Rattus norvegicus: one gene and its partners. The protein of the gene in region 1 interacts with the protein of each later gene in a biochemical or structural test. Links are inferred from orthologs where the notes say so. Each region holds a gene or a part of one and is shown on either strand. Other genes may lie near its edges.

Region 1 (3,967 bases):
TGTCTCCAAAAATAACAACATGCAATCTACTTCAAACACTCAAGTACCTACGGGTTCTGACCCTGCTTTGTATTCACTGGTAAAGAAGACAATTGGGCACACGAGGATGACCGCCATTTCTCTCTTCCTCAACGCCTTCCCACCCGCCCCGAGTTACTTACAAAGATCCATAATGTGGTTCCTGCAGATGGCACAGTTATCAACCACAATATCCCAGGCCCAGAGGGCTACTGCATTCCACTGCAAGGAGAAGAGGGGAAACAATGCATTTTCTGGGTAACATAACAGACTCGTTAGGATTTCAGCTGCGGCTTCAGTTACCAACTCCCTGGCCATAGGGCCTAGCAAAGAAAGAATGATTTTTGGATTGCATTATTTGTACAACATCAGAGGGTAACAGCAGACCACGTGTACACTTCCTCATTCCTGAACATGGGTACTTTTAATTTTTTTTTTTTTTTACTTTTATTTATTTACTCTCCATTAGTTTAAATCTGGGATGGGTACAGCATCACACGGATTCTGTGTCCAATGGCCTTTGCAGGAAGGTTGCTTTGGAATTTGGCACGAACCACGCCACTGTTTCCATGGGCCCGAGTTACTTTTCCCCAGATCACTCTGGTTTTGTTTGGTTTGCCTCCAGGAGTCACTGTATTGTTTTTTGCTTTGTACACATAAGCACACCTCTTGCCTAAGTAGAACTCAGTTTCATCTCGGGCATAAACGCCTTCAATTTTTTTTTTTTTTTCGGAGCTGGGGACCGAACCCAGGACCTTGCGCTTCTTAGGCAAGCGCTCTACCACTGAGCTAAATCCCCAACCCCAAACGCCTTCAATTTTAAGAAGAGCCGTGTACTCTCTTTGGTTCAGGAGGCCTGGCTTGTAGCCAGCAAAAATGGCCTTGCACCACAGCCTTCCAGACATACTTGTTTTTTTTAGAAGTCCTGTTCCCAGTGGGCTTCCAAAGGCGCCAAGATGGCGGAAAGAGGAAGGCAAGCCCCACCGCGCCAATTTTTTTTTTTTTGGTCTATAGCATAAAATAATTTAGCTAGCCAAACCGACGTGGGAATATTAGAGCTATTTTTTGAACACCCATTTTAGCTTCAAGTACAAACTTGAACTAATGTGGAGCTGTTCCTGACAGATGTGGTCGAACTCAAAATCTGCCTAAGTATTTGCTCTCCACGCAGTTTTGGACTCGGAGGAAGAGAGGTGAACAGACTGAACTACGATAATAAATGGATCAATCGCTAAGGGGATAATCGTGGGATAAGCTGGATAGTGAGTTACCTACCCAGTGTCAGCACACAGAACAAGGTCATCACTTACACCTCACAGCACTGCAAGCAAGTCAATCCAGTGCAATTTTCTTGTCCTCTTACCAAGGAAACTGATGTTCCCAACGTTCATATGTCCAAACTATTATTTTGCTAGTTCTAGTAAATTGATCCAAGACTTACACTGGGCAGGACACCCCTTTCTTTCTTTTTTTTTTTTCTTTTTTCTTTTTTTCTGGAGCTGGGGACCGAACCCAGGGCCTTGCGCTTGCTAGACAAGCGCTCTACCACTGAGCTAAATCCCCAACCCCTAGGACACCCCTTTCAAGGACTACTTTGGTTTGACTTCTCAAATTCAAGTATTCGAGTCTAGTAAATTCGACATTATTTCTATTATTCTTCCATATGGCTGCAGGCCGTAACTGAGCAGCAGTGGCCACAATGAGATGACAAAAAAAGAGTGGGGTGGGGAGGTGTTCTCAGCGACTCTTTCCAAAAGTAATACATACAAAAAAAAAAAAAACAAAAACAAAAAGGAAAAAAAACCCCAAACAAACCAACAAAAAACCAAAAACACCTTCCCCACTTCAAGATCTTCATTTTGAGCAGATTTATGTAATCTTAGGTAGGAACGGGCACTTTTCTCTTAAAGTGCTAGAAAACTATGAAGGGAATAGAATACAAAAGGACGTTTCATATTTTTTGTGTTCCCAGGTCATTAACAATTAGTACTCCGCCTTCTTAAATGGCACAAGTTCTGGGCTTGCTTTTAAAACAAAGCCCACCAGACTTTTTAAATTACCATTTTGTGTTAGAAGTGTACACGGGCATTAGAGAACCATTGGAGTGGCAGAAGCTATGTGACAACTAGTACACGTCTCGGAAGAACCAAGCTTTACACTTGAGACTGTGGGTTTAGAAGGCTAATGGAGGCCGCCATACAATCGAGGGCCCACACCAGGTCCCTCGGAGTCAATAGATTCTAGGATCCAGGAAGGGGCGGAGCAAGAACACCGGCAGAGCTCTTCTGCGGTGTCATCGCACGTTCCCGGGTTTCTCCGCACAGCCCCATCCTCCACCCGCCGCAGTCTCTTCACGAGTCTCCATCCTACCCACCCCACCCTGTCCTTCCCCCAACTCTCAGTCACTTCAGTGACAGCTTAAGCGCTTGGCTCCCGCACCGAAGTTAACCTCGCGTATTTCAGTAAGCAGCTCTGCGATTGGACCCACAGCTTTCCCAGCGAAACTAATATGGCCAAGACAGTGGGCCACCATCATGCCGATCAACCCTAGGCCCGCCCCCCGGCTTCCTTTAGTGGTACCCGGTCCCAGGAACGCCCTGAAATGAAGCCCTTTCCCCCGCGCCTAGCTCTTCCTCGGGCCTGCCAGCCATATCCGCGCCTCCCTAGATTCCTTGAGGAAGGCGCTGGCGAGACCCAACCTTTTTAACTTCAAAGCGCTTCTTGCCCGCGCCGCTGTTGGTGCCGCTGGGGGTATCCACATCCATCGCCGCCGCCATTTTGGAAACACACTGTCGTGCGACCACTGCGCCTGCGCATCGGCTCACTTTCCGCCGCCTGCCCTCTCGCCAGGCTCCTCCTCTCGCACCCCTCCCCTTATTGGCGCGTGCGGGTAGAAGGGGCGGAGGCTGCGGTCACGCCCCTTAAAGGCGCAGGCGGAGGTTCCCCGTCGCTCTCAGCTGGGGAGGAGGCTGGAGTGATTGAGGCGGGGTCGGGCGGGGCCGGGCGGAGCCGGGCGGGGCCGAGCGAAGGGAGCCAACTGGTGGGAATGTCCCTGAGGTCTGAATACTGCTCGCCTTCTGGGAAACCCTGTGGCCTGACTCCTTCTTCTGGGGCGGCGGCTGCTTCCTCCTTCTGCCCCAGAATTTATACCTGATCCAGACCCACAGCGCTGCCCCCAAGGCCGCGGTGCAAAGGGCATGGGCTGGTCTGTGGAAACCCGAAACTCCAAAACGTTCAAAACGGCCTTCTGCTGACCGTGGCCGGCTTGGGGGCCCTGTGACTCGGCTTTCCAAGGCCCGGGCACGGTCTGCGTTCTCAACTTCAGTTTGGGAAATTATTTGATAGGGAGAGAGAGGCCTGAATGTTCTGCCCAGGAACAAACAGAGCAGGCATTCTGCAGCTCTGCCTTCACCTTCTCACCAGAAAGACACGGAGAACACGTAGGAGCCTGGGAGATGCCATCCTCCTTTCTCCCCATTTCCCATCCGAGTTTTGCTACTTGTGCTACAGTTAAATTAGTACATTTGTAGTGGCCAAACTTGAATTTGGGTGAGGCATTCTGATTTTCTTACCGGTCATTACCACCGAGCTAAGAACCTGTATCTTTTGTCATGCTTCCATGTTTAGCCCAGCCCTCCACTGTTTTATCTCCTAAATTTGCAGAGGTATGACTAGAATACATCACCCTCGAACTTCTTATGTGTTCTAGTTCCCTCAACAGGACAACAATGACGTTTTATCTGAAATGCCCACTTGAAAGAAATACTGGCGTGCAATTCAGTGTGCTGTTGATGTCCTTGCTGAGCAGGGCAATACATCCGGAAACACCACCACAGTTTTAACTTGCACAAAGAAGACTTGCTACAGCCTGCAAGGAGTGTGTGTGTTGGCCCAAGTTCTACCTCCCACACTAAAATCGTCATTGATTTATGTGTCAATAGACTCCCTA
Region 2 (4,111 bases), about 100 Mb from region 1:
GGCATTGGATCCTTGGCTCTTCCTGGTCACATCAACCAGCCCCACCTTTGACACTGTTTCCCTATCCCCAAACAGGTCTGCCTGATATCCCCAGCCAGGACAGGATGTTGGCACACCTGTGGGGGGTTACGGGGCGGGGGAGCTGCCTTTTCCCAGCCCCAGTTATTGATGCAGCTGTAGTCCTTCAGGACACCCACAGTCCAGCTGTGTGAACAACACAGCCTAGGGCCAGAACCACCCACCCCTAGAGGTCACGGGTACACCACACACCTGTCTGCAAGGCTTGAATATGCTGCCACCTCAATACTCATGACCAAATGTCCAAGAAAGGAGTGTGGGTGTCTATGCCGGTCAACCTCGGGGACTTTGCGTGTCTGTTCCCGCTCCTGTAACTTTCCAGGATGCCTCACCACTGCTTAAGCAGGACTAGGGTGTGGTCAAAGGACAGCCTGACATGAGAGTCCTCCCAGGGTAGAGGTTAGCACTCCACCCGCTGGAAGCCAGGTCTGCAAACCCCAAATCGTCGATTCTGTGGGCCCTCCTTCTACCTGAGCCCATAGAGACAATATAGGGACATCCATAGCTTCATGATGGGAAACTAGGGCGGATCCTGCTCCGCTCCCGCACAAGCCACGCCCAACTCCCCACCCACAACCACGCCCCCTTGACGTCACAGAAAAGGCCCCCAAAGCCGCAGCTGCCACTCCGCAGCGCGCAGCCCAGCCCTGCCCGCCACTCCGCACACAGGCATCCGCGGAGCTCTTCCGGCCGGAGGCGACGGCGGCCTCCGGGGCTTCGGAAACGCAAGGCGCCTGCGCGGCAGGGCGGGGGAAGAAGACTACACTTCCCGGCGTGCCCCGCGGGCGGGCGCGCAGACACATTCCGGACCCGGTGGAGGCGTCGCACAGGCGCATTCTAGACCCGGCAGTGGCGCGCAGGTGCATTTCCGGCCCGGCAGCAGCGGCGCGCAGCCGCATTCGGGGCCCGGGTGTGGCACGCAGGCGCATTCGGGGTCCGAAGGAGGCACGCAGGCGCATTCGGGGCCGGGAGCCGGTGCGCAGGCGCATTCGAGGCCCGGCGGCTGCGGCGCGCAGGCGCGTTAGGCGCGGGCCGGGCCGGGCCGAAGCGAGCGCCGGGCGGGCAGCGGCGCCAGAGCGAGTGGAGCCTTCGGGGTCCCCGGGTGGTGGCGGCGGCGGCGGCGCAGAGGAGGAAGGCGGCGGCTCTCCCCCTGCCGGCGCGCGACCCGGTCCGTCCCGCGAGCTCGCGCCGGTCCCGCGGCCCGGCCCGGCCCCGGCCCCGGGCCCCTCCGCCGCCGCCGCCGTCACCGCCATGGCCCGGCCGCTGGTGCCCAGCTCGCAGAAGGCGCTGCTGCTGGAGCTGAAGGGGCTGCAGGAGGAGCCGGTGGAGGGCTTCCGGGTGACGCTGGTGGACGAGGGCGACCTGTACAACTGGGAGGTGGCCATCTTCGGACCCCCCAACACCTACTATGAGGGCGGCTACTTCAAGGTGAGCCGAGCCTCAGTTTCCTCTTTGTGCCTGCCTCTCTCCCAGGCTGGCTCAGGCCCCTCGTGCAAAGCGGCCCCTCCCTTTTTTGTTGGGCACGTGCTGACCTCACCCCGGGGACTGGTCTCCCTATACTGTTCTCCAGCAGGCTACATGACCAGAGACAGCTAATGTATGCCGCACCCCCAGGCAGACCCCCACTACAAGACGTAGGGGCCTCTAGAGCCTGCTGCTGGTCAGTGTGTTCCCAGGCTGTCGTGCACTGGACTAAGCATGTACCTGGGGATGTATCTCCCCGTGTTGTCCCCACTCTTCCAACATGCTTCTGGTGAAGGGTCTCCCCAGGGACAGTTGCTGGCCTTCTTGTTCCGGTGTAGTTCTCCCCACCACAAGACGCAGAAGCATCTGGAGCCCTCTGCTGGCAAGCATGTTCCCAGGTTGTCCCTCACCCCACCAGCATGTGGTGAAACCTGAAAAGGTTCACCTTAGTTTGTCCATATCTCAAGACATAAAGGACCACGGGCAGCTGCTGGCTGACATCCCCAGGCCTGTCCCCTACCCTGGAACACAACCAGAGCAGCCACTGGCCGATGTGTCCCCAGGGAAGAGACGTGTAGCCTGGACAGCCACCTGCTCCAGTTCCAGTAGAGGCCCTGGCAGGGCCTTGGCAGCCGTGCCTGTTGGACAACAGCCACCTTTAGCACTGGCCAGGCTTCACGTAATGCATTCAAGGGGGTGGTGGGGGCCCACCCTGAATCTTGGAGCCACACCTTGGGTTCCTGCCAAGGGCCCTGGACCCTAGAGCTCTCTGTTTGCCCCACCCTGACAGCCTTTCTCAGGTTCCACTGAACAGGTGGAGTCTTAGGGGCCTGATTTTTCCTTCTAAGGGGTGTCGTCTGCCCTCTGGTGGCTTCAGGCTCAATGCACCAGATGTTTTTGTGGTTGGGAGCAGGGAGGCTTAGGCAGCCCCCAACACTGAGTATGTTTGGCCAGGTATAGGTACCCATGTCAGCACAGTTGAATCATCCTGCCTGCCATGGACTAGAACTAGCAGAATCACAGGATCTTATGTTAGGGCCAAAGGTGCACGCAAACCCCAGCCAGTCTGGGGCCCCAGATGTAGGGCCGTGGCACTTATTTGTTCTGCGTCTTCCTTTGTGGCTGATGTCCTCACCCTTCTTGGTCAGTGCTTAGGAAAGTCACAAGTCTCCTTATGCAGGGGAATGTTTGAGTTAGGGTTTCCAGGTACAGCATGTGGAGAACGGGAGGGAGACACATGTGGACACCCTCGCTTCCCACCTGGAGGTGGTCTGAACTGAGCCGCCTTCAGGACATGCAGATGCTGTTAGCACCTTGTCTCCTGTGTTTGCGGGGGGGGGGGGGGGGGTGCTCAGAGCAGGGTCACCTGAACTCTTCCTTGCCCGTAAAGGATTGTGGGTAGAGCCTCCTAGGCTCACATTGTTCTTGAGGTAGCTTAGGAGGAGGCCCTGCATGATGTCACTCAAATCCGCCAATGTAGGAGCTTCCTATATGGTGTGAGTGACTGAGACGTGGGGAGTCTCTGTAGGAGGGGAGCTGTGAGGAGCTTCTCTGGACAGCCCAGCCTGTCTCACTTGAGAGAACCCTTCCTGTTCTGAGCCTCAGTCTGCTCATTCTTAGAAGCATCTGGAGCCCCAGAAGTGTGGGGTGTTGTTCCAGCAATGCCACCTTCCCCATCTGCTCTCCTGAGAGGATCGGGGTGGCAACTCCACACTAGGTTTGTGTGCGCCAGGCAGAACACTGGAAGCTGTCCTTGGGGAGCTCCAAGACTAGGGCAAATCTCAGGCCTTCTCTATCTGTCCAAGGTCGGGGCAGTGGGCAGGGTGAGCTTCAGCCACAAGCAGTTGCTGTGACCAGGCAGATGGTTCCAGCTTGTCTGGTGACTACTCTTGGCCTGGGCCCCTGAGCTTGGGTGGTGTTGGTGGGAGGCCTGAGGCCAGGCAGACCTGCTGACTCACTCCTCTAGCTAGCCCACACCTTTCCTAACCGCCTTGCCTTTCCTAACCTGGATGTCAAGTCACAGAGGTGTGCTGTGTGTATACTGGTGTACAAAGACTGGAGTTGGCTTCAGGGCCTGTACACCAGCGGCAGGTGGGCACAGCCCCTGACTCCAGCAGTGCTCGGGGGCCTGCCATTGAGCCACCCCATTTTCTGCCATCTGTAGGCTCGCCTCAAGTTCCCCATCGACTACCCATATTCCCCACCAGCCTTCCGGTTCCTCACCAAGATGTGGCACCCAAACATCTATGAGGTAAGACACTAGAGGCCTGCTTCAGGCACACTCCACCACACACTTCTCTGCCTCCCTTGCACATGCCCCACCCCTCCTCTAACCCTGGTCACTCTTGCAGACAGGGGACGTATGCATCTCCATCCTCCATCCCCCAGTTGATGACCCACAGAGTGGGGAGCTACCCTCAGAGCGGTGGAACCCCACGCAGAATGTCAGGTGAGAATTGCCATGGAACTGCACCGTGGGCACCCGCAAACACCCTGTACCCTAAGATCCACCCTTCCCTGCTCCAGTCAGGGGTTCCCAGAGTCTGGGGAGCTGAGCTTGCACCTACGG
Region 3 (2,939 bases), on another chromosome or scaffold:
AAAAGTACAACCAAAAAAGCAGCCCTGTTAAAAGACTTTTTTTCTTTAATTAAAATAACCATCAGTTTGCAATTCATTAGAAGTTTTAAGAACTTGTTTGTTGTGTACACATGCACATGTGCCCATAGGAGAGCGCCTCTCGCTCTCTTCTACATGCGAAGGTTGGAAGACAACTGTGGACTTGAGTCGGTTTCTTCCTTACATCAAGTGAACTGCTGGGACTGAACTCAGGTTGTCAATTACACCACCTACCGCACGATCTCGCCAGCTCTGTTTCCCTGTATGTTGTATTCATTTCCGGGTAGTGGAGACGAGGAGAACGACCTCGCTAAGGAGCCTCTCTCCTTCTGACAGCGCAAGCTGTCAGCTTGCTGTCAAATATCTACGAACTGAGCCACCTTACCTTTCTAGTAATAAATATTTTTACCATGTTCAGAAGCCATCATAATCCTAATTTTAACACATTTTTCAAAGGAAAATATACCAGATAATGTTTCTTAGTTCTAAATAAAAAACATTTCCTAAGGGCACATTACATTTCAGAATTCAATATAGTTTTAAATACTTCAGTTCTGCAAGTTCTCAGCTGTGGCTGAGATACATGTACTCAGTAGGGTATCAAAAAGAGACATAAATAAAAACCAAGGTTTTATCCAAACAATACATCAGAACTTATTACAAACCTCCAATCCAAAAGAGCATTTCTGGTAGCAGAGAGAATTAACTAATTTAATTTTTAATTACTAATAAAATGAGCATTAGCTCTTATTTATGAATAAATGACTTTCGTGTTTTTTATCCACTGTTGGAAGGGTTTTGTTTGGTGTTTTGGAGGCAGGCTCTCCCTAGACAGCTCTGGCTGCCCCGAATCCTCTATAGGTCAGGCCTTAAACTCAGAGATCAGTCTGCCTCAAATTCCACAGAGTGAGGTTAAAAGAATATGTCATGGGCTGGAGAGATGGCTCAGAGGTTAAGAGCACCGACTGCTCTTCCAGAGGTCCTGAGTTCAATTCCCAGCAACCACATGGTGGCTCACAACCATATGTAATGGGATCTGATGCCCTCTTCTGGTGTATCTGAAGAGAGCTACAGTGTACTTGTATATGATAAATAAATAAATCTTTAAAAAAAGAAAATGTCACTATGCCCCATTCTGAATACTCGTTTTTTTTGTTTTTGTCTTTTTAAAGAAGCTTGAAAATTTTGGTCATTCTTTTTTTCCCCCCTACGTGGAGAAGTTTAATGAGAGAAGAGGAGAGGAGAGGAGAGGAAAGGTTGGCCATGGGACACGTGGAGGGAAGGGGGTGGGGGGTGGAGAGAGAAGGGACAGGAATAGAGGGGAAGAGAGCAGAGAAGCAAAGAACAAAGAACAAGAGAGAAAATTTGGTGGATGCTTCACTCCTTTAAAAGGGGAGCAAAAATATCCATAGGAGGGAATAGGGAGGCAAAGTTTAGAGCAGAGACAGAAGGAACAGCCATTCAGAGCCTGCCCCAAATGTGGCCCATACATATACAGTCACCACACTAGATAAGATGGATGAAGCAAAGAAGTGCATGCTGACAGGAACCAGATATAGATGTCTCCTGAGAACATGACAGCCAGAACATGTCAAATACAGAGGCGAATGCTAGCAGCAAACCACTGAACTGAGAATGGGATCCCTGTTGGAGGAGTTAGAAAAAGGACTGAAAGAGCTGAAGGGGCTTAAGACCCCATATGAACAACAATGCCAACCAACCAGAGCTTCCAGGGACTAAACCACTACCGAAAGAGTATACCTGGACTGACCCATGGCTCCAACTGCATATGTAGCAGAGAATAGCCTAGTAAGGGCACCAGTGGAAGGGGAAGCCCTTGATCCAGGCAAGGTTGGACCCCCAGTGTAGGGGAATGTCAGGGGGGAGGGCAGTAAGGGGGGGTGAATAAGGAGGGGAACACTCATATAGAAGGGAAAGGGGAGGGGTTGGGGGCTGAAGGACAGGAAACCGGGAAAGGGAATTAACACTGGAAATACCCAATGTAATAAAAATTGAAAAAAAAAGAGGGAAGTTGAACATTTTTTCTCCCTATACCAACCTGGGTTCTTAATATTCTTAGTTGAACTATTCCTTCATTTTCTTCTTCTCTCATCCGTTCTGTAGTGAGCTGCAAGCGTCCAATCAAATTGATTTTTCCCCTTTTCTGTACTTTTGCATTTTTTCTACAAAAAAAATCAAAAATGTTAAACATTTACTGCAGCACAATGTCTGAAGTTTTAGAAGCATCGTTAGACATTATCACTCAGAACTGTAGGAAAGTGAAGTGATAGCATGCAGCTTTACTCTGAGCAGTCCCTATGCCTATCACGGTGGCCCTGGTCTACAGTCACCTGCAATCCTAGTGAGGGAAGCTGCCCAGAAGGATCTTGATTGCTTTGAGGCTAGGCTATCTGTTGCAAACAAAATTTTTTTAAAAAAATGTGATCCTTCAAACAAGACCTAGCCTCTGATGACTAGGGACCAGATCCCTCAAAACATTAATTTCACTGCCACGAGAATAATAATTAAAGCAAAAGCAAAAAGGTTTTATACAGCATTATCTGATTGAATCTTCAGATAAACAGCTCTGCCTACATAAAGCTGTTTTACCCACTCCCTCTCTCTTTTGGTCTTTACTTTCAATTAAAAAATAAAATGGCATGTCTCCATCTGTGCCTAGAGCTGGGGCTGTCTCACAGCCCTCAGACCCAAAACCAGCCCAGAGACACCTGGTCTGCCATGAGCGCTTGCACTCCTATGCCCACAGGTGGGACTCCACTTTCTTTTCTACTAGCTATCCACAGAGAGACTCACCGGGAGCAAACAGGACATGGGAGCAACGGGGCGGCCTGCCATAGGACCCTTCTGGTCTTCATCTGTGCCCAGAGATAAGGCTGTCCCATAGCCCTCCACACCCAAAA
Region 4 (4,128 bases), on another chromosome or scaffold:
CTGTAACATCAGTATTTGGGGGGCTGAGGGAGGACTGTCAGTTGGAGGTTAGTCAGGGCTACAGTAGATGTATCAGAAAAGGAAGGTAAAAATACCAAAATAAAATCAGAAAGTATCATTTGTCTAAATGTACCAAACAATTCTTGTATTGCACATCAGTATGCTTAAGCTCATAGCTCTGAAATCTGGGAAAGACTCCTAACACTAATGCACACTGGCAGACATGCACACACACACCTCCTGAAACAGGCCTGGAGGATGAGTGTCCAAGACACTAAGCTATAAGAAGCACTCACCACAAAAAAAACTAGTTTTCATTTAGATGTGTTGTAAGTGTGGGTATGGTGTAGTTTATACAAACATTGATCAGTCATGAAGTGATGGGCCAGTTCAGTCCTACTCTGTAATAGCTTCTCCTTAGGGGCATCTATGTGAAAAGATGAGCCTTGTCAGAACACAGACATCCTCCAGTCTTCGCTAAGTCACTTCCCCAGAGGGACTCCAGCCCACAAGCTCCCAAAACAGCAGAACCGTAACAATGTTTTCCTGCCTTGTTGCCGCCTGGAATGATCTTGTCAGAAATTCCTCAAGCAGGATCATGAGTTAGTGCTTCCCACCTTGGCCAAGTCTAAGTCCACCACTCCATGCTCAGACCTTGGGCCATCAGGGGTGTCTGACAATGTCCAAGACAACAACCCTATACACTGCTGGGACCAGTGAGGATGTTCCACACGAGGACCATTAGGTTTTCACCTTTGGTATCACTAAGGCAAGTGGTGGAAAGTGAAACGGGAAAGCACTGGTTAAGGGTTGAGCAGGCAGTCCCTAGTGGTCACAACAGCTTCTTGGAAAATGAAGAACAGAAGCTGCTCCACACCCTGCAAACCTGCACTTGGCTGCTTAGACCTGCCACTGCAGTCCAAGGGCTCTGCCTACTGCTCTCACACCCTCAGAGGCAGAGGATGGGCATACCATGCTCTACTCTGTGTGGTGTGGATTCTAACTTGTAATCTTCAGTGAGCTGTAGGCTTTTCCAGTAGGACATGTTGTGTGAAGACTGTGCAAGGTAGAAAACAACACTGGTGGTGTCTCCACAGAAAACCCAACACGTACTTTCTGATACTCTAAGGCAAGTAAGATTAGAGTATCCGCTATTTTATCTATCATCTGCATCACTTTCACTAGCATGTGAGGGAATAAACCAAAGTCTCAATTTGGAAATGTCCCACAATCAGAAAATTAAATCTACACAAGGGGATCAAACAAAAACAGTTACTCGAACTATCAAAAGGGTAGAAGTTACCTCTGAATTCTCTTTCCCTCCTCAACATGTCCCACCTCTAGAAAACCCCACTTTGACCAAAACTTCCCTTTTCTTGGGGGAAAAAAAAATCACACTGTGACTAAGGCAGTATCTTGGGAACAGATCAGCTATTCTGAACAGCATGCTGAGTTTCAAATTCCACAAGTTGTAATTGGCCCACTTAGTTCCTCCTCTGGGTGGGACCAGCCTTTGGGCCATCCAAAGAGGACTGTAGTGTGTTATTTACCAGTCTCACCAAATCATGTTTATTCAGCATTCCTATGTGCTGTGCTGAAATCAAGCTGATGTCCCCTGGGCAGGGCCAGGCAGCTCAAGGTGAGGCTAACTCCTCACTGACAGTTCCAATCGAAGCCATTTAAGAGAGGACTACGGGGCTACTAAGGATGCCTAACCTCTCAAGTCTAAAGAAACAGACTGAAACTTTAAACTTTTTTTTTTCTTTTTTTCGGAGCTGGGGACTGAACCCAGGGCCTTACGCTTGCTAGGCAAGCGCTCAGACTGAGACTTTAAAAACTTCCGCACCCCAGTATCGTACAGCATGAGTGCCCAAGGGCCTCTAACCCGGTTTATTGACTGACCGCCTCCGGACTCATCTTTGATTTTGGGTACTGAATGCCAAGTTAATTCTGTCCAGGTTAATTCTGTTCCTGAAGTTCCCTCCATCACTATCCCTCTTAATTCCCACCTATGAGTCTCTCTCGTACTGCCGAGCTCCCAACATTCGGCCCAAACAGCTAGGAAGCCTCGGCACCAGGCCCACCAGCCACCTCACTGTTTTTCAACACCACCCTGCTCATTTCTGGAACCTTCTGTTCAATCTGATAACCAGGTCTTGGGATGCCCTCTTTCCCTTCACCGCCAAGCCCTACCAGGTTCTTAAGGAGAGCAGATTTCTACCCACAGGCCAGTCTCCCCTCCAGGAAGCCGCCTTCAGCAACTCCAACCCACCGGCAGCCCCGAGGAGTGGGGTCCAATGCCCACCGGAGACGGAGGAAACTGAGCCCGCTGGAGAGAAGGCCACACCCCAGGTGACACGCCGCGGAACCGGGTCAGGGACCGAACCGGGCCAGGCGGGCCGGCCGCCCCTCCTCCCCGCCCTCGCCGTGGCGGGCTGTGTCCACCTCCCGCCTCCCTTCAGGGACAGCGGCCTCCCCGCCGCGGCCTCGGCCTCCCGGACGGCCCGAGCTCCGGACCGTGACCTTGCGGGCGGCGGCACGGGGTCCGCCTCGGCCCGGCCCTCAGAGCCGCGGGGGCTCGCTGCCCGCCCAGCGCTTCCCGTCAGCCGCCGATCTCGCGGTCCCGCGTGGCGCCCGGCGAGAGGAGCCGCGGCCTCAGCCCAGCCCGCGCGACCAGCTCACCTGAGCACCGCGAGTCAGGCGAGGCAAGCCGGCACCCAAAATCATGCCCGGCCAGCAGCGGCACCGAGTCGCGCTGGCCTTCACAGCCGCACCGGCTCCCGGCGGCGGGACCGGAAGTGGCGGGGCGGGGACTGCGCCGTGACCGCAGCGGTCACTTTAAAAAAAAAATTCAAAGCTATAAAGAACTTTATTGGCAGCTCCACGCGCGGACAGTCGCGTACACCGGCCAACTAGGTGACCGTCGCTCATTGGTGGAGAGCACGACCTGAGGACAGGCCATGTGGCAAAACCTTTACTGATTGGTCATGGAGGCACCTGCGTCCAGGACCCCGGCACACGGCCTTCCGGCTTGTTTCCATTCATTTAGCCGCTTGATCCTTCCGTGTACCACACTAATACAGTGCCTGCTGGTGGAGCTATAGCCCTATGCCCAGCACCAGTCCTGAATGCAAACGATCCGACCTGTCTGCAGCTGCATTAGGGCTACGGGATTGTTAGAGGTGCAGATTGCATCAGGTGGCTGATGGATGTGAGGGCACTCTTCCTGCTTCTTATTTTTTAATTTCTCCTGTTCCTAGTATTCCTATGTGCACTTTAAAAATCTGCTTTAGGCCTGGAGTTTGGGGGGCATACCTTCGATCCCAGCGCCCGAGAGACAGAGGAAGGCCTGGTCTACATATTAAATTCCAGGACAGCCAGAGATACGTAGAAAGAGCCTGCCTCAAAAATACGCTTCAGGCCCCTAGATGTATAGCAGTGGTGGGGGAACTTGCTTTGCATATGTAAGGCCCTGTAGTTCCATTTGCAGCGTTCTTCTTGCAGCTCATGGGGTATGAATTCTCTGTCCCTGTGGGACTGGAGATCTTCTACTCTGAGAGAAATAGGCAAGACTCCTAGAGAGGTAGGGCCTTGAAAAGAGAATATTTGCTGTGGAAAAGACCAAGGAATGTTAAGATTTCATTTATTTTCTTTGTGGTTCTGGGGAACGAACTCCAGAAGTCTCACCTGCAAAACACTACCCTTGAGCTACATGGCCCCTAGATCCTAAAATTTCTTTCGAAAGAAGGCAATTGGGCTCTGTGAGTAAAGCATTTGTCGGCATGAGGACCTGTTTCCAAACTCAGGTGGGAAGATGTGAAGCCTAGGCAGAGGAATCCTCAGAGGATTAGGACCAAGTACCCTGTAGAGGGAAAGAGATCCTGCGATGAACAGCCTAGATTACATAGAATTCCAAACCAGCCAGGGTGACTTAATGAAAATCTGTCTTAAACACAAAAAAGTGAAGGAAAGTTATCCTTAGATCACCCGATGTAGCACATACATAGCTACACACGTTACTCGGGCTCACGTGTGCGTACATCAGATACATACATCAGATACACACTTGTGCACAGATATGAAGGGTAAAAGGCAGCTGGGCATGGTGGCACTCAGCTTTAATCTTAG
Region 5 (2,617 bases), on another chromosome or scaffold:
TCCTATTCCCCTGCCTTCAGGTCTCAGTGGGCATCCCTGTCTCTAGGACTTGAGCAGGACTTCCGTGGCTTGGTCCATTTCCTTTATTCACGTACTAGGAGACGGCTGGTGCAGATTGGAGTCTTGGGGCCTGGTAGGGTTGCCGTGACCTTAGGCTGCTGCACACTGAGCGGGGGCTGAGGGTCACATGTGTGCCCTGTGTGTTCCTTAGTCCTCCCCTGTGAGCACAGAGACTCTTCTTGGTTACAGTCTGCCAAAATTGACACCTCGAATCCTCACAGGAGTGGGGCCTCATGCCCACAGTCACCCCTGCAGGACCTGCCGTGTGCCTGAGTTTCTCTGTGGTGCAGTTCCTGTGCGAGGCTCTGCGGCTGAGCTTCCGGCTGTGTTTGTGCCTCAGGCTGAAATGGACCGACGTGGACTCTCCAGGGAGAGAAAGCAGCAGATTTCCCACGAGCCAGTTTAGGCCGTGATAGTGTCCCTCTCCCACGTCTGAGTCATGGCTGGCGTCGCAAATGTGTCTCTTTCCTGATTTGCAGGGGCCCTGAAGACACTTGCTTTGAGTTTGGTGTTTTCCCCGCCATCCTGAGTTTCCCACTTGACTACCCTTTGAGCCCTCCGAAAATGAGATTCACCTGTGAGATGTTCCATCCCAACAGTAAGTGTGACTGACTGCGGCTGACAGGGCAGCAGTGCCACACAGCTCTACAGTGCTCTCAGCTCTAGCTGTGACAGATGAGTGATGGTGTGAGCACCAGAGTGCCACGTTGAAGGACAGCTTAATGTAAAGGGGAAAATGTGTGACCTCAGCACTGGCTGTTTGTCAGCCGTCCTGTGTTAATGGGTTCACTGGAACTTTCAGGCCTTGAGTGCTTTGTGTCCTTCCTTGGCCTTTGTCACCGTGTCATTTTAATGGTGGAAAATTGGAATTGGGCTGGAGAGATGGCTCAGTGGTTTAGAGCACTTGCTGCCCTTGCAGAGGACCCAGATTTGGTTCCCAGCACCCAGCATTGCTCACAACTGAGGCTCCAGGAATCTGGTACCTCTGCTAGCCTCTCTGGAGCCAGGCTGTCGTGCAGTACACAGACATACACAGCATACTGTGTAGTCGTGCACATGAAAAGTCGGGAGCCAGCCCAGCTGACCTACAGCAGAGTAGAGGGCTGCTGTAGTTAGCCTGGACGTGGACACTGAGGATATGGTAGAAATCCCTAGAGGCTCGATTGCTGTTACTCGGGTTTGCGGGGAACTGTGTAGGCTGGGAAGTAGGGAGTACTCAAAGCACTGGTACTCTGAGTTCCATCTCTATCTGCGAGGGGCCATAGTACTGTCAGTGACTGTGCCCTGACTGGGAGTAGGGGTTTCTTCCTTCCTTTTACTAGTAGGTTTTGTACATGGAGGCTCAGGATTGCTCAGGATGGCCTTGAACTCCTGATCTTCCTGTCTCTGTCTCCCAAGTGCTGAATTCCATACACATGTGTCCATGCCAGACTTAGATAAGAGAAATGGACAGTGCGTTGTATTTTGAATGATGGCATTAGGATAGTGTTCCTTCTTGTAAATGTTTTTCATTGCCACAATAGTCTTGATCTTTCTGCCTGTGGAGCTAAATTCAAGTAGGGTATTCTATTTTGTAAAAATAAAACATTCACTTATTAGACACCAGGGTTCTTTTTCAATTTTATTTTATGTGTACGGGTGCTTTGCCTGCATGTCTGTCTGTGTAACAGACAGAGGCCAGACAACTGAGTCAGATCCCCTGGAATTGGACTTATGGATGATTCTGAGCCATCATGTAGGTGTGGGAATCGAACTCTGGTTCTCTGGAACAGCGGGCAACACTTAACTTCCAAGCTGCCTCTCTGGCCCAAATGGACGTTTTTGTATTTTGTAAACGTTAATTTTGAACCTGGTCTGGTGCTAAGTCCTTCCCCCCTTTTCTCAGGACTTGAGGGGTTTCGCTGCCTTGCCTCTGCTCTAGCTACCTGGACATGGACTTTGCTGCTGGTGGCTCTGCAGCCCCGTGCAGTATCTTGAACTCTGGGAACTTGAGTTTGGAATATTCGTCCACACATCTTTCACTTCCTCCTTTAGGTGCTCAATGTAACAAGGTAGAATCCAGTTGTGACTGCTCAGTGCTAGACAGACCTGGTCCCAGGCCCCCTTGTCAGTGACCACAGGACCTGATCAGTCCATGACAGGTCTGGTCTGCTGCTAGCAGCCCGGGATCCGTGCCAGCAGGAAACTCCTGTTTCAGCTGTGCAAACAGCCGGGCCTGTGTCTGTGGAGCTTCCCCGCACAGTGACACGTCTCTGACTTTTGCAGTCTACCCTGACGGAAGAGTGTGCATCTCCATCCTGCATGCCCCAGGGGACGACCCCATGGGCTATGAGAGCAGTGCCGAGCGGTGGAGCCCAGTGCAGAGTGTGGAGAAGATCCTGCTTTCGGTGGTGAGCATGCTGGCAGGTGAGGCTTTCCCGAGTGTGAGCAGACGCAGGAGTATAGATGTGTAAGACGGGCCAGTAGATTCTCAGGTTGTTGGCTACAGTTTGCTAGTCTCTCACTGTGATTTGTTGGGGCCACTGAGAGTCCCAGAGCAGGGGTATAAAGCTCAGTG
Region 6 (3,500 bases), on another chromosome or scaffold:
ATTAAAGTAAGTAAAAAAGCCGTTTGCAGCAAAGTGGGGTTAGAGCAAAACAGTGCTGGGTGCCATGTCCTAGGTGGCATCTGCTGACCACTCTCAGCCTAGGGTCAGTCTCCTCCAGGGCTCCGATGGGGCAGAAGCTCCATGCGCCTCACAGCTCTGTCCTGAGAGGAGATGCATGTGAGCAAGTTCTCCAGGGATCTGGTCACCACGTTCTTGTCTAATCTTGCAGTCGTTGGTTCAAAATGCTGACGGAGAACACAAGAGGCATCTTGACTGAAGCTGTGTAGTAGACCTCCCAGAGGCTCGGTGTCCAGCCACACTTGCTTGCTGTGTTTAATGAACAGGGTCTGCACAGCTGGCAGGGTCAAGTGTCCCCAGGAGGGGGAAAAAGACTTCCTGAATCAGGAGAAAATCTTGAATACAAAGGTTCTGGAATTTATTTTAGACATGAATGCATGGAGCCAAAGAAGTCAACATGGATTTTACACACAACAGAGTTTGTGCGCTTAAAACTGGCCCGAGGCCAGGTCGGACAGACGTACTCGTGGGCATGAGTGACAGGTGACACGGCAGCAAACCTAAGATGGCCTCTGCGCAGCCCTGTGTGCAGTACAGGCCGACTGTTCCCTTCCTAATGGGAGACACAGCCAGCCCGCCTCTGTCTGTCCTGTCCCTGGAGGAAGTCTCAGGCCGGACAGGCAGGTTCTCCTGCCTGCCCAGAGTGCACGATCCACCAGGAGAAAGTGGATGCAGCAAGGACCGGAGGGGCAGTCCTCAGGGTTACGCCAGATCCACTATGGCCAGATGGTAAGCAGGACCTTGTTCCTACAGCTCCCCCCCCACGCCCCGTTAGATGAGACTCCTCCCTGTCACACCGATTGGGCCTGTGACACCGAGACAGAAAGCAAGGGGCTGTATCCTGATTCCTGACAGGCACACCCCAAGAAAATAAGCTGGGTATGACAGCCATATTTGTGGGGATTTGTCACATATCATAAAAAATAAGGTGATTTTTAATTAAAGAACAGAACTTAAACTTTAAGACATTTTTAAAAACTCCCCTGAATGTTCCAATTAGATGCAGTACTCATATCAACTATTTAAATGTGACAAATTTCACTTTTAAAAAAACCATTATAATGAGTTATGAAACAAAAGGCCCCTTGTTCTATAAAAAAAGAGTTAAAACCCATTATTTTACACTGAGGATATTCATCAGTTCTTTATCCTAGTTTTAAAAGCTTTGTGTCATAAATGAGGCACAAAAAGCAAAGCAAGAAAAGGATATTCTCTGAAGGGGAGGATCTGGGCCTGGACATGGTCTTCACAGACCTGCCGCAGCTGCTTGTAGAGCGTGGGGGAGACTTTGTGAGAGCACAGATTCTCAACAGCCTACAACAAAGGAGAGGGTGGTTGTTCAGCGCGCGTCAGAGCTCTTGGAAAGCCCTGCGTTTACCTGCAGTACAGCCCTCTCGGGTGGTCAGGGCACTTGTGCCACCCACACTGATGGCAATGGCCAGCAGTGCCAGCAGTGAGGGGCTCAGACTGACATACCCTGCACCCACTGTTCCTTGGGGGCTGGCACCTCAGGTGTGAAGCTTTGCCCTGGTTCAGGAGTTGCCCTGTCAGGCTGCACAGACCAGGGCTGTGAGGTTAGTTTGGGTCATGTGGCCATTTTTTGACTCTCTAGGTTGAAATGGGGCACACATATATCCTAAAAATGGCCATGTGAACCTGGGCAGTGGCAGGAGGGAGCGCCCAGCTGTGTGAGTGTTAGACCTGTGATTCCTGAGTGACAGGCCAGGCTGCTCCGCTCCCTGTGTTTTTACTGATTGTTGATGTAGAATGCATTTATTTTGTCTTGATGAAGAAAAGGCAACTTTTGTTTGTTTTTTTGAGACAGAGTTTCTCAGCGTTGGCTGTCCTGGAACTCACTCTGTAGACCAGGCTGGCCTCAGACTCAAAGCTCTGCCTGTCTCTGCCTCCTAAGTGCAGGCATTAAAGATGAGCACCACCCACCAGCCAGCAAAAAGGCAACTTTAAACAGCCTACAGGAAAAAAATTATTTCTACCCACTGAAAGAATATAATCTCATCACTCATATTAAACCTCTCTCAAATCTCATATACATGTCAGACTCTTATTCACGTGAGAAGTGTAAAAAGAAATGATCTCTAACGAGGAGAGGGAACAGAGAGACTTTCCTTAGCTCTTTTCCTCGAAGTACCTTCCCGTCTTATCTGTCAGCTCTGCCTCAGAAGCTCAGCATAAGTCAGCCCATGTTTACAAGTACAGAAAAAAAAGTGATTTTATATACACGTCCATGCTTGTGTGCTTTTCTGTAGAAGTCCAGTTTGTGTGGCTGGTATGCCGTCCTTCACAAGAAAGCATTTGTGCAACAGTTTTCTCTCTCTCCTTCTTGAGACGGAGTCTTACTATGTAGCTCTGACTGTCCTGGAACTTGCTATATAGACCAGGCTAGCCTCAAACTCAGAGATCCTTCTGCCTCTGCCTCCCCAGTACTGGGATTAAGGGTGTGCACCACCAGTCCCCTAATATGAGCGTTTTCTGAGTGCTGCTTCCTGAGTTGGAGTCAGCAGTCCTAACTACTTTTCCTAGCTGTGACACACTATCGCTGTCATACCTACTAACATGAATCTTCCTCATGTACTTAGTTACAACTGAAGTCAGCCACTACAGAGACATATGGTATGACAGGTGGGACCCAAGGTGACCCTGGACTCAAATGAGAAGACGGTAATGCACAATGGCAGTCCAGGATTGGTGGCACTGTCTGTGTTAAGGATGGCCTGGGGGTACTATTTCCATACAAACTTGCTGCCTCCCCGCACTACCCCCTACTCAGAGTGAGGCTGGGATACTGGGCCCCTCTAGATGCCTAGTGAGAGAAATAAGTAAGAATACAAAATGAAATCAGGACTCAAATCCAGGCAACAGGAAACTCAGAAACTTCTCAGGAGACATGCACCTGTCACCATCTTCCAAACCCAACCTTAGCACTCAAGGTTGAGGTAAGAGCTAAACACACACCTGTGAGAGCTGAGCAGGAGGCTGCTAGACCAGGGCAGGTTCTGGTGGGACAGACAAGTCAGAGAGGCTATAGTCTCTGCTTTTGTATTGAATTTATGCTCTACTAGTACGTGACTTCTTCAAAGTGGTCCTAGCAATACTGACCTGTTCACCACACCCTGGGCTTTCCCATGTCATTTTAGCCAATCCTGTTACTTGGTTTTCCACAGACCCACACTGCTCCCTCCTTCACTAATATGCCTGACAGGGGTGAACCTTCCGGCTCTGTTGTACACTCCAGCCCAGAGCTGACCTCTCCCTGGAAGCTAGGCCACTCTGAGGAGTTTGCTCTCAGGTGGAGCTCCACTCTGAGTCTTCCTCTGATGTGTACTAGGGTGACGAAAGGACAAAATTCAAGTACGTAAGTCACAGGAGTATGTCCTGAATGGTTCAGACTCAGGTCTTCAGAA
Region 7 (3,993 bases), on another chromosome or scaffold:
GGGGCCAAGGCTACCCCACACACCCTACCTGGGCCCCCAATAAATATTTGCAGGGGATGCCTGGGCCAGTAACCCTGGCAGGGATGGGTAATTGCTAACCCTATTTCAGGCAGCGCTCGAAGTAGGTGGACCCGATGTAACCACCTCTCATGGAGCGCTGCACGTTTTGTTCAAACAGCCGCCGATTGTTCTGCAGGACCTCGGCAGCCTCCTTGTTCAGTGGGTCCTCGGGGTTGGGCTCCTGTGGCCAGTACAAGTGGAAGTCAACAGGCAAGAGAGGCAGAGATGGCCAACAAGCCCTCAGCCTCAAATGTCTATGCCTACTTACCAAGAAGAGATACTGCAGGCCATAAATTATGGAGTTTATCGTAAGGACTGGCTTCCAGTCCTCTCTGTGGGCAGAGAGCATCAAGGTTATCAGGGGCTGGTGAGTGGGAGGTTGCCACAGGCCCTGCTAACACGAAACAGGTCAGGCCCATAGAAGGGCCATTAACATTGAAGAGTGAGGGGGAAGATGTGGAACAGGGCAGGTCATGGAGAAAGCCAAGGTCAGGTCACTAGAAAAACAACTTGAAAAGGAAGACAGAAACCCAGACTGACCATAAAGGCAAGGACAGAGATGGATGCAGCATCCACAAAGGCTGAGAGGATTCCTAGAAGGCAAGCCTTGGGAGGGAAAGGAAGGCAGTGCCCTCACCTGAGGATGTTGAGGCAGACGTTGCCCTCGAGGTCAATGTTGGGATGATAAACCATTGTTTCACACTTCACCTTGGGAGGGTCATGTGGGTAACCCTGTCCCACCTGGCTCCAGAAAAAAGAGAAATGAGATGGGAGGGTGTTTTGGCTATGCCCCAGTCTTCTCCACAGAGCCACCTTTGTACACTTGAAACTCACCTTAAAGCTGAACACAAACTTGCCGCTCTTGTAGAAGCCCTGGAAGAGGAAGGGGGAAGAATGCATAAAGATCCTGCTCTTAGGGGGCCACCCCTGGACTGTTCTTGGGAATCCTGCCATGTTTTACTCTTACTTCATCAGGACAGATAACCAGTTTGAAGTTGAGGAGGTCGTCTGGGTCTGAGAAGCTGATGTCACACGTCTTGGGCAGGTTCAGCTCGTTAATGTCTAGGTTTGCACAGCAGGGAGAGGGAGAGAAAACAGGTAGAAGAAAGGAGGTAGGTCTGGACATGTGTCAGTAGAACCCCCAAGGTCTCCTGGACCTGAGGTGCTCTTTGTGTGCTGTGCTTTAACTCACTCCATAGGACTAACTACTCTTTCCACTTTTCAGTCTCTACTCTTCTGGATACACGGTATCCCACATACAAGCATCTTCAAGTGTAACTGGATGCCCATCTCTTGGGAAAGGGCAAGCCTTTATCCCCCAACCCCAAGTCCTCCGCAAGTTCCCACAACATAGTCCCCAAGAACCTTTACTCCCATAACCCTTACTTCCAAGAACCCCTGAGTACCTTAAACCTGAGGTTCTCTATTTCTAGTCACTATCTCCATTCACGACTGTTTACCAGTTCACCACTATTCAAGGACCATGACACCTCCCCCCACAACACTAAGTTCAACCTTCCCATCAAGTATCCAGCCTCCACTGTCCTCCCTCTTCTCCGGATTACTCCACGTTCCCATCTGATCCTTGAGATTTCTAGCATGGTAGCTTAAATTGACCCAAACTCCTTTTTTTTTTTTTTTTTTTAAAGTTCCTGTCATTTTCTCTACCCCCCTTCACCTCAAACTCAAAACCACTCTGCCTAAACCCCTGGACTTGAGTCCTGGACCACCAGCCCCAGTATAAAACACTAAACCGTCTCCTACTTATCCCCAATTCGTAACCTTCACAATCTTCACGGCCCGTCACCCCAGAGCAAAGTTCCCCTCTGACTCTCCAAACTATACCCCTCCCCTAACAGATTCCGGGTCCCTAACACTCCAGGCCCAAATATCCCAACGCCCCATACTCGGCCCCAATCTCTGACCCTCCCTAGTGACCGCACCCCCCCACCCCGTCCCGTATCACAACCCTCGAACTCTGACCCTCGATACCAAATATCAGCGGTGGCAATTTCACGCCACGGTCCCTGACCTCGAACGCAGGGTCCCGACCCCTACCCTTCTGAATCCGCAGCTGCGCCGCCGACGCCTTCTTGCTGCTGCCCTTGGTGCCGCCGGCCGACTCCTCCTCCTTCTTCTGCTGCTTCAGCGAGAACAGCTTGATCATCCTGCCGCCGCCGCCGCCGCCGCAGCCGCCGCGGGGCCCGGGACCCCGGCCACCCGGCCCCCCGCCGCCGCCTGCGCCGCTTCCGCTCCTCGGACCCGCTACCGCGGCCTCCTCCGCTGCCGCCCGCCCGGCCTGCCGCGCTGCTCCGCGCCCACCGCACGGCCCGCCTCGGCTCCCGTAGTCCGGCTCTGGCCTGGCTTAGCACCTCGGGTGTGTTCGGAAGTGCTCGGGAGGACTCGGCTATCCTCGGCCCCGCCCCTGCTACGGCCCCCGCGCCCTCCTCCCCCTCTTCCGCTCGGGTCTTGTGAGTCCCCGCTGCGGCTGCGGACGCCGGCCTTTACCGGTCCGCCGCTCTCCCGCCTACTTGCTCCCTTTGCTAGGAGGCTGCGGTGAGGTGGAAGGAGGAGGCGGCAGCCGCGCTTGCGGCGGCAGGGTACCGCAGGGTACCGGTGGAGGCTCAGCTTCCGCGGCAGGCGCGGCTTCGATGCGGAGGTCGGCAACGGCCTCGGGCACCCCGCCGCTTCGGCACTTTCCGTCGTCTGTCCGCTTCGGTTTTTCCTGGCTCGGCTGCGCTCTGCGCCTGCGCAACTCTTGCAGCGCCCCCACCCCACCCCCCTGCTTGCTCCTCGTTGTAGTTTGAGGTTCGGTTTTCTTCGGTTAAGCTCGGGTATTTCCGTTTGTGGAGGTGACTATTTGGCGGTCCATCGGGTACTTCCTGGGATGCGCACCCAGGAGAGTAGGAAGCAGTGCTTGCAACCATTTTTGAACCAGGCAGGTAGTGGCTGTTTGGCTCTTGGTGGTTCTATTCAATATTGCACTTATGCGGATCTCAGCGGGACCAGGTTACCAGGTTAGACTGGATCCTTGCCCTCTTGAGGGCTCAGCAAAGGCAGAACCTGGACGTTGTAAGGAACGTTGCCTAAGGGTGCAGAAGCAAGCTCCCCTTTAATCCCACCGCAATCCCAGATTCAGATTGATGGGAACTAGTTTAAAACTCGAATTGTGGGTTGGGGATTTAGCTCAGTGGTAGAGCGCTTGCCTAGCAAGCGCAAGGCCCTGGGTTCGGTCCCCAGCTCCGAAAAAAAGAACCAAAAAAAAACAAAACAAAAAAACAAAACAAAAAAAAAAAAAACTCGAATTGTTCTGGAGGCTTGAGGTATCAAGTTGGCTTGAGAACAGGCGTTAAGGGCTGGAGAGATGGCTCAGTGGTTAAGAGCACCAACTGCTCTTCCAGAGGTCCTGAGTTCAAATCCCAGCAACCACATGGTGGCTCACAACCATCTGTAATAAGATCTGATGCCCTCTTCTGGTATGTCTGAAGACAGCTACAGTGTACTCATATATAATAAAAATAAATCTTTAAAAAAGAGAGAGAGAACAGGCGTTCAGGGACACCCTAGGCAACACATCGAGACCCTTGTTCCTTAAATTTCTGTTGTGTAACAGACGTGAGCAACCGTGTAGTTCTAGGGTCCGAGGTTGACGTTGGTATAGGTAGGGCTTACGACTGCGATCTAGAGACCAGCAGAAGTGGCACTGTGCTTCTTGATTAACTTGTTCAGTGAGCTTGCATCCAACCACAGTGCTTGGGAGGCAGAAGAAAATAATAGCTCAGGATGGGCCAGTGACTTTGGCTGTCATCTAGGAAACCAGAAGCCAGAGTCGCTGTTGAAAAACATGACCGGAACAGGTTAGGACTATGTTCTGCTCTTATAAAGGCTCTTTGCTGACTGACAGCGTTTGCACCACCCAGCATGGCACAGTTC

What was found.
Region 2: the proteins of Rbx1 (region 1) and Cdc34 form a complex in vitro, tested with the Homo sapiens proteins (84 studies listed by BioGRID and IntAct, with this or other methods). The link is inferred for Rattus norvegicus from reciprocal best matches to the Homo sapiens genes RBX1 and CDC34.
Region 3: the proteins of Rbx1 (region 1) and Cul5 form a complex in vitro, tested with the Homo sapiens proteins (4 studies listed by BioGRID and IntAct, with this or other methods). The link is inferred for Rattus norvegicus from reciprocal best matches to the Homo sapiens genes RBX1 and CUL5.
Region 4: the proteins of Rbx1 (region 1) and Ube2f form a complex in vitro, tested with the Homo sapiens proteins (2 studies listed by BioGRID). The link is inferred for Rattus norvegicus from reciprocal best matches to the Homo sapiens genes RBX1 and UBE2F.
Region 5: the proteins of Rbx1 (region 1) and Ube2g2 form a complex in vitro, tested with the Homo sapiens proteins (3 studies listed by BioGRID). The link is inferred for Rattus norvegicus from reciprocal best matches to the Homo sapiens genes RBX1 and UBE2G2.
Region 6: the proteins of Rbx1 (region 1) and Cul4a form a complex in vitro, tested with the Homo sapiens proteins (6 studies listed by BioGRID, with this or other methods). The link is inferred for Rattus norvegicus from reciprocal best matches to the Homo sapiens genes RBX1 and CUL4A.
Region 7: the proteins of Rbx1 (region 1) and Ube2m form a complex in vitro, tested with the Homo sapiens proteins (15 studies listed by BioGRID and IntAct, with this or other methods). The link is inferred for Rattus norvegicus from reciprocal best matches to the Homo sapiens genes RBX1 and UBE2M.

The regions. Positions count from the first base shown.
Region 1 is NC_086025.1:114,869,812-114,873,778, reverse strand, and holds the start of Rbx1 (E3 ubiquitin-protein ligase RBX1), read right to left. Parts: upstream 2,801-3,967; 5' UTR 2,796-2,800; coding exon 2,718-2,795; intron 241-2,717; coding exon 162-240; intron 1-161. UniProt on the Homo sapiens protein: E3 ubiquitin ligase component of multiple cullin-RING-based E3 ubiquitin-protein ligase (CRLs) complexes which mediate the ubiquitination and subsequent proteasomal degradation of target proteins, including proteins involved in cell cycle progression, signal transduction, transcription and transcription-coupled nucleotide excision repair.
Region 2 is NC_086025.1:10,670,808-10,674,918, reverse strand, and holds the start of Cdc34 (ubiquitin-conjugating enzyme E2 R1), read left to right. Parts: upstream 1-1,311; 5' UTR 1,312-1,329; coding exon 1,330-1,506; intron 1,507-3,706; coding exon 3,707-3,793; intron 3,794-3,893; coding exon 3,894-3,991; intron 3,992-4,111. UniProt on the Homo sapiens protein: E2 ubiquitin-conjugating enzyme that accepts ubiquitin from an E1 ubiquitin-activating protein, and catalyzes its covalent attachment to other proteins by an E3 ubiquitin-protein ligase complex. In vitro catalyzes 'Lys-48'-linked polyubiquitination.
Region 3 is NC_086026.1:62,914,633-62,917,571, forward strand, and holds part of Cul5 (cullin-5), read right to left. Parts: intron 2,202-2,939; coding exon 2,078-2,201; intron 1-2,077. UniProt on the Homo sapiens protein: Core component of multiple cullin-5-RING E3 ubiquitin-protein ligase complexes (ECS complexes, also named CRL5 complexes), which mediate the ubiquitination and subsequent proteasomal degradation of target proteins.
Region 4 is NC_086027.1:99,292,187-99,296,314, reverse strand, and holds the start of Ube2f (NEDD8-conjugating enzyme UBE2F), read right to left. Parts: upstream 2,801-4,128; 5' UTR 2,683-2,800; intron 2,445-2,682; exon of another isoform or gene 2,273-2,444; intron 1-2,272. UniProt on the Homo sapiens protein: Accepts the ubiquitin-like protein NEDD8 from the UBA3-NAE1 E1 complex and catalyzes its covalent attachment to other proteins. Together with the E3 ubiquitin ligase RNF7/RBX2, specifically neddylates cullin-5 (CUL5).
Region 5 is NC_086038.1:10,985,444-10,988,060, reverse strand, and holds part of Ube2g2 (ubiquitin-conjugating enzyme E2 G2), read left to right. Parts: intron 1-539; coding exon 540-658; intron 659-2,325; coding exon 2,326-2,466; intron 2,467-2,617. UniProt on the Homo sapiens protein: Accepts ubiquitin from the E1 complex and catalyzes its covalent attachment to other proteins. In vitro catalyzes 'Lys-48'-linked polyubiquitination. Involved in endoplasmic reticulum-associated degradation (ERAD).
Region 6 is NC_086034.1:83,114,458-83,117,957, forward strand, and holds part of Cul4a (cullin-4A), read right to left. Parts: intron 1,393-3,500; coding exon 1,289-1,392; coding exon of another isoform or gene 1,288-1,288; intron 1-1,287. UniProt on the Homo sapiens protein: Core component of multiple cullin-RING-based E3 ubiquitin-protein ligase complexes which mediate the ubiquitination of target proteins. As a scaffold protein may contribute to catalysis through positioning of the substrate and the ubiquitin-conjugating enzyme.
Region 7 is NC_086019.1:82,735,499-82,739,491, forward strand, and holds the start of Ube2m (NEDD8-conjugating enzyme Ubc12), read right to left. Parts: upstream 2,801-3,993; 5' UTR 2,228-2,800; coding exon 2,119-2,227; intron 1,123-2,118; coding exon 1,028-1,122; intron 934-1,027; coding exon 895-933; intron 802-894; coding exon 698-801; intron 393-697; coding exon 329-392; intron 242-328; coding exon 101-241; 3' UTR 1-100.